Macaca fascicularis: one gene and its partner. The protein of the gene in region 1 purifies or fractionates together with the protein of each later gene. This does not show direct contact. Links are inferred from orthologs where the notes say so. Each region holds a gene or a part of one and is shown on either strand. Other genes may lie near its edges.

Evidence for each region.
Region 2: the proteins of HADHA (region 1) and GPC1 purify together in Homo sapiens (co-immunoprecipitation; 3 studies listed by BioGRID and IntAct, with this or other methods). This does not show direct contact. The link is inferred for Macaca fascicularis from reciprocal best matches to the Homo sapiens genes HADHA and GPC1.

The regions. Positions count from the first base shown.
Region 1 is NC_088387.1:96,011,844-96,015,493, forward strand, and holds part of HADHA (trifunctional enzyme subunit alpha, mitochondrial), read left to right. Parts: intron 1-1,614; coding exon 1,615-1,734; intron 1,735-3,629; coding exon 3,630-3,650. UniProt on the Homo sapiens protein: Mitochondrial trifunctional enzyme catalyzes the last three of the four reactions of the mitochondrial beta-oxidation pathway.
Region 2 is NC_088386.1:136,338,811-136,342,460, reverse strand, and holds part of GPC1 (glypican-1), read right to left. Parts: intron 3,374-3,650; coding exon 3,208-3,373; intron 2,167-3,207; coding exon 2,036-2,166; intron 1,927-2,035; coding exon 1,807-1,926; intron 1,705-1,806; coding exon 1,571-1,704; intron 1,294-1,570; coding exon 1,118-1,293; intron 710-1,117; coding exon 477-709; 3' UTR 1-476. UniProt on the Homo sapiens protein: Cell surface proteoglycan that bears heparan sulfate. Binds, via the heparan sulfate side chains, alpha-4 (V) collagen and participates in Schwann cell myelination.

The DNA of each region.
Region 1 (3,650 bases):
TGGTCTCAAACTCCTGACCTCAGGTGATCCACCTGCCTCGGCCTCCCAAAGTGCTGGGATTATAGGTGTGAGCCACCGTGCTTGGCTAGCTTTGTTTTTAGTTATCAAACTTCTGGATAGGTTTTAATCCTTAATCCACATGACACAGAGCAAGTGGCACAGAGCAGGTAAACGAAGGTGTGATGTTTTCATTTGAACTGCATCTCTAATGTCCTTTTGAATTCTAAAAATCTGGTTCAAGTTTGCAGGGCAAAGATTCAGAAGTGTGATCTATGCTCTTAAGCTACTTAAGTCTGGTTGAGACACACAAAGCATAATATAAGTGCTTTGTCAGTAGTAAATTTGGTAAATAATAGAAGACTTGAGAGAAGAGATGCTTACTAGACCCAAACATGTAGGAAAAAAAAGAAGGGGAAAAGAAAACATTGATTGAGCACTTTTCACACGCTGAACTCTGTGCCAGACACTTTCACATATGCAGTCATTTACGACATAACGTTTCAATGACCAATTGCATATACAACAGTGGTTCTATAAGACTGTAACACTGCGTTTTTCTATACCTTTTCTGATAAGCATTTCTTTATAGAAATGCTTATCACTGTGCCACAGTTGCCTACAGTATTCAGTACAGTCACATGCTGTCCAGGTTTGTAGCCCCTTAGGACAGGGGTCCCCAATCCCCAGGACATAGCCTGTTAGGAACTGGGCCCCACAGCAGGAGGTGAGCAGTGGGCGAGTGAACATTACTACCTGAGTTCCACCTCCTGTCATATCAGTAGTAGCATTAGATTCTCATAAGAGCAGGAACCCTGTTGTGAACTGCACATGAGAGGGATCCAGGTTGCACACTCCATTGGCCTCTAATGCCTGATGATTTGAAGTGGAACAGTTTCATCCTGAAACCTCTCCCTCCCACCCCACCCCCAGTTCTTGGAAAAAATTATCTTCCGAGAAACCAGTCCCTGATGTCAAAAAGGTTGGGTACCACTGGACTAGGAGCAACAGGCTATCCCATATAGCCTAGATGTGTAGCAGGCTCTGTCATTTGGGTTTGTGTAAGTACACTCTACGATGTTCACACAACAACAAAATTGCCTAATGACAGGTTTCTCAGAACATATCCCCCTCATTATGTGACACATGACTATATTAATTAAGAAAACCTGTGCCTGGCCCTAAACTATAAGCAGAATTTGATTAACCAGAATATGGAGGGCAAAACAATTCCACACATGGTATGGTGTGAGCAAAGGCAAAAGCAAAGCCAACTAGGACACCATAAGTAGATGTGCTTGATTGGAGAGTCCGGGGCTTTTTAACCTGGAGTCCATATAAAATTGTGTGTGCATTTTTCTCTTGAGAGCTTCTCTAGCTTTCAGTAGATTTTTCAGGAGATCTACAGCCCAAAAAGAGGTTAGTAAATTAGAGGAAAAGTGTGAAAAAAAGGCTAAAAAGGTAAATTCTAGAAATTATTAAATGCCAGCCTAAGGAATTTCAGTTTTTTCTGTGAGCACATTCCTGCTTTATAAGTAATCTTTAGACCCTTATCGATCTTAAGTTGCTACTAAGTCACATTTTCTAACATTCTAATTTTCTTTCATTTGTTCAAAGCTTGCCATTTCATGCCAATACAGAATAGCAACAAAAGACAGAAAAACAGTATTAGGTGTCCCTGAAGTCTTGCTGGGGGCCTTACCAGGAGCAGGAGGCACACAAAGGCTGCCCAAAATGGTGAGTCTAACATCCCCTTTGTGAACCTATATGCCCTCTTTAGATCTGTTTTCGTATATAAAATGAATAATATGGGCATTCATTGTAGAATTAAAAAACCAAATAAAATATGAGTGTACAGGATCAATGACAGACTTTTATTCCTGGTCTTATTTTTTCAATCCCACAGAATTTTTTTTTCTTTTTTCTTTTTTTTTCTTTTTTTTTGAGACAAAGTCTCGCTCTGTAGCTCAGGCTAGAGTGCAGTGGTGCGATCTCAGCTCGCTGCAACCTTCTCCTCGCGGGTTCAAGCAATTCTCCTGCCTCAGCCTCCCGAATAGCTGGAATTACAGGCACGCGCCACTGCACCCAGCTAATTTTTTAGTAGAGACGGGGTTTCACCATGTTGGCCAGGCTGGTCTTGAACTCGTGACCTCAGGTAATCCTCCCGCCTTGGCCTCCCAAAGTGCTGGGATTACAGATGTGAGCCACCACACCTGGCCTAATTCCACAGAATTATTGATCAAGGTCCTTTGTTAGTCTCTGAGGAAGGATAAAGATAACTAAGATGCATGTCTTGCTTTTCTGGAGCTTACGGTTTAATTGGTTCATTTTCCATATAGTACCATCTTAACAGTTTTTCAAAACCATGTCATATTAATATTTCATAATAAATATAAGAGACAGACCTTTTCCTTCATTATCTGATTTGGATGTTCTTATTGCTGTGTCCTATGGAACCAAAGAAGCTCAGCAGGTTTTGAATTCCAAGGAGAAGGGAAGGACAGTCAGACCTGGATGCTACAGAGCAGTCTTAATGTCAACTCAAGGGCCCACTGAACCTCGTAGCTTCTGGCACTCTAGATTCCTCAGTGAAAACAAGGCTCAACAGACATACTTTTTGCAGGGAAGTTGATCTCAGTTGAGCACAAAAGAAAACAAGGTTTATGGTGGTAATTTTCTAATAATAATAATGTGCTTTCCTTCATAGGAATGTCAAAAGGATTTATTGAAAGAATGAATATGCATATATGTGTATCAAAAATATTTGTTGAGTTTCTTTCTCCTTTTTTTTCTTGAACTATAGCTGGTATTTGAATGTTACTAGAAGCCATTCTTCTAATATCATATAAGCAGCCCTAGCTGAGTTCTATTTTTGTTAAGCTTAAAATTCTTTTTAAAGACTTTGTCAAAACGATCAGGTTTCTCAGAGTCTTTGCTGTTTTCAATATGATTTATTTTATCTTATTTTATTTTATTTTATATTTTATTTTATTTTATTTTATTTTTGGAACAGAGTCACTCTGTTGCTCAGGCTGGAGTGCAGTGGCGTGATCTTGGCTCACTGCAACATCCGCGTCCTGGATGCAAGCAATTCTTGTGCCTCAGCCTCCCGAGTAGCTGGAATGACAGGTGTGCCCCACCACGCCCAGCTAATTTTTTGTATTTTTAGTAAAGATAGGGTTTCACCATGTCAGGCCAGGCTGGTCTTGAACTCCTGACCTCAGGTGATCCACCTGCCTTGGCCTCCCAAAGTGCTGGGATTACAGGTGTAAGCCACTGTGCCCGGCCAGAATTTTAAATATTTTATAAATGATAGGGAAAAAAACCCTCAGAATAACAGAAATGTACAAATTTAGGAAACATGAAATTCTTTACCTTATTAGTATAAGAATCCTATATATTGAATTAAGAGATAAAGATATTTTTGCTTCAGCTAGAGGTATCTAATCCCCAAAGTTACCCAAATGTATATCAGTATATTAAATATAACTTATCTATGCTATTGACAAATAGCATAAACATATGGTTTGACTTTTTTCATTTTAATATTTGTTCATTTGATGAATTGTAAACTATATAATTATCACCCTGATTTCTTTCCCCCTATACTCTCATCCTTGCTTGCCTGTTAGGTGGGTGTGCCTGCTGCCTTG
Region 2 (3,650 bases), on another chromosome or scaffold:
GCACCCAGAAAGCCCTTGTGGGGCTTCTCTGGGGGCTGAGGAGTGGGCCAGGGCTGGCTGGTGGGCTCTGCTGGGAGTCCCAGCGGAAGGAGGCGGGGAGGAAGGCACAGGCTCGCTGCGGGCTCCAGCGGGTTGCTTTGAGGCCTCCTCTGCAGGCCTCAAGGGGCTGCTTCTGCAGCGGTGCAGGGAGCTGGGGGAGGGCTGGGCAGCCGGAGGTGCCCCTGAGGTCCCTGAAATACATGGCTTGTGGGGACACTGGCTCCCAGCTGACCTGAGGACCTCATACAAAATTAAAAGGCAGAGAGGCAGGCAAGGCCAGGCCTGGGGCCAGGGCCTCTGCACCTGCCCCTGCTCAGAGCTGCTGGCCCTCCCTGTCCCACCCCAGGCCTCTCCAGGCTGAGGTGAATTAAATATCGTCTGTTTTGTATTTTTGGCAAAGTCAGTCCTTGGCCTCTGTCCCTGGGGCCTTGGGGCAGTTACCGCCACCGGGGCCCGGCTACTGTAAGGGCCAGGGAGAGGAGGAAGGGCAGGAGGAAGGTGGGCGGCTGGGGGCAGCTGGCAGCCGAGGTCTTCTGCCCTTCCTGCTCCGACAGGCCTGGGAGGGCATGGGTCAAGGGCGTCCGGGAGCCGGAGCTCTTCCTGCTGGCCCCCCGGCCACAGCGATCATCTGGACAGCCATCACCGCTGCCCGAGCCACTGCCGTCGTCACCTGGGAAGGAGAGAAGGCTCCGGCAGGCTGGTCCCCACAGGAGACCCCAGGGCAGCATCACCCTGTGAGGACCCCACATGCCAGGTGACCCCGACATCCTTTCGGTGTGGAATCCCAGGACCAGCAGCACCCGATCCCCGCTGACCCTGAAGCTGGGAGACTCTCACTCCCTGGGGCTGCCTCCCTTGGTCCCTGGAGCCAAAGCTGATAGACATCCTGGCCAGGCCTCCAGGGGCCGCAGAGGTGCAGGGCTCGGTAACCGTGCCTGGGCAGCACAGTGTCCTGAGTCACTGTGGTGATGCTAGAGCAGAGGGCCCCTCGGGTGGGGGAACCTGGAGGGCAGTCACAGCCCTGCGGCACCCCCGCCATCCCTGGCCCCTTGCCCGCCCGGTCAGGCCCTGCTCTCACTGGCGTCCTGGAAGTCCACGTCATTGCCGTTGTAGGCGCTGCGCAGCCGGTTGGTCATGATCTTCAACTGCATGATCTGCTGCCGGATGGTCATGTCCGGCTTGGTGATGTCCACCTCCACCTCGGGGTTGTTGATCTGGTTGGCCAAGCCGTCACCCATGACCTCAGGGAGGTACCTGGAGGAAAGGCAGGCAGAGCCCAGGTCACTGCTCCAGCCCCTGCAAAGGGCCATCACCTGAGCAGGACACCCTCTCGCCCTCCAAGCCTGAGACCCTGGGCCTGAGATGCCCAGCAGGCCTCCAGGGACCGAGCAGAGCCCATGCAGGCCACAGAGAAGTGGGGCTCGAGCCCTCCAGCCAGGGACGTGGCCCTGTGCATACAGCACCCGGCCCAGGCACAGCCCAATGGAGACGGCATGGGAGGGAGGGCTGTGCCAGCCAGGCAGGCACCTACCGGCCTCTGGCCATCCCGTTCCAGCAGCGGTCATCACTGGCAGTGCTCAGGGCCATCTTCTCGCTGCACAGTGTCCCTGGGAGGCTGATCCAGAAGTCCTGGACGTCACGGAGCTGGGCCTTGGCTTCGGAGACCTGCCGGGCAGCAGTCAGGCCACTGGGTTGCCAGAGCCCGCCCGCCCCCACCTGTCTGCCTCCCTCATGCCTGGTCCGGTGGACCGGAGAGGGGCCACTCACCAGCTTCTCCAGGGTGCCTGAGGGTGGCCTCTCCCGTGGGGCCAGCTTGCCCCGGCGCCGCTTCTCCTCAGGCCCAGAACCCTGGGGGTTGACCTTGGGGTTCCCGCAGCCCTGGATGACCTGGGGAGACACCACAGGGTCCTTGGGGGGCAGCGGGGTCCCTCAAGCCCAATGGAGCCACATCCAGGACCCCCACCCCACTGTGCTCGTCATGTCCTCCCGCCCGCACCTTGGCCGTGAGCGTGTCCCTGTTGTCCTGGAGGGCGTTGATGGCCTCCGCCAGCCACGTGTGCACGCTGCCGATGACGCTCTCCACACCCGACGTGCCCCAGAACTTGTCGGTGATGAGCACCATGGAGTCTAGCACAGGCGTTAACACACGCGCACACAGGCGTCACCACGTGTGCATGTTAATGCAGTCTTAACAGCACAGGTCGGCATGGGAGATCCCGCGCACGCACTCGGGTTGGCCCATGTGATGTGTGCAGGCCACGTGCACTCAGCTGCACTCAGCCTGGCCCACGCCCACATGTGCACATGCGCCACGGGCACAGGTGGACACGCACACACGGAGGCCATTCTGCATGCTCGCTGGCCTGCCGTGTCTCATGTATGTCCACGCTGGCTCATGCAGGTGTTGACATGTACATATGCTGACTCACCTCGGTCCAGCTTGTGTGCACATGAGCCCATGTGAGCTGGTGTGTATGCATGCTGGCTCACCTCATGCCCCCCCACGTACACCTTAGTTCATGTGTGTGTTGCATGCATGGTGAGCACATGTACAAGTAAAGCTTATGCATTTTGTCAGCTCCCATCACATTAGCACACACGTGTTGGCTCCATGTCAGCACATGGTAGCACGTGTGTTGGCACAGATGCATGCTGTCCCACCTCATGTAAGCATGTGTACACGTTAGTGGATCTAGATAAGCATGTACATATTAGCACACACGTGTTGGCATGGATGCGGGTCAGCCCAGCTCATGTCATCACATGCACACAGGAGCACACACCATACTGGTGGGCACCGGCCCGCTGTGTGTCAGCAAGTGTGCACGCCAGCTTGCATGTGTTAGCCTGTCATGTGACAGTGCATATATGTGTTAGCTTAAGCAAGTGCTGGCCCTCCATGAGTCACATGTGTTGGCATGTATGCACAGTGAGTCACATGTGTTGGCATGTATGCACACTGAGGTGCTCACTGGGGAAGCACAAGAAACTACGACCTCACAGGGCTCCCTCCCTGGCAAGCTGCCCCAAGTCACACACCCTGGTCAGGGCATTCCTGATCAGGTCCCTGGGTCCAAGCCCTGAGCTAGGGACCACCCGCCCCCCCCAGGACCCCCGCCACACACTCCCCAAGACAGTTCCAGGCCGCTCTGGCAGGTGGGGGCTCACCCAGGAGGTTCCTCCACTCGGCATCCAGGTCGGCCTGGTTGGCGAGGCAGCCCTTGAGCACATTTCGGCAATAGTCAGGGCAGGGCCTGGCGCCAGGGACTCCCAGACAGTGAGCACAGTAGACCAGCTTCATGACAGCCCTCGAGCACTCTGGGCCCAGGGGGACCTGGGGAGCAAGGCAGCCTGAGCCAGATCCCAAGGCCCTGGGTGTGCCCAGTCCCAGCCAGCCTTTAATGGAGCCCCAGGGTGGGGGGCTCTGGAGGGAAGTCAGGGGAGGCCTGTGCTCTGCCCCAACTTGCAATGGCCCTTGCCTGACTCGCGGGCCTGCCAGCCCTGACGGCCCTCATTCTAATGATCTCAAGGGTCATGGGGAGGCACGAATATCCTCACCCACATGCTGCTGAGGATACCAAGGCGCCCCAGCCTACCTGGGTCTGACACGT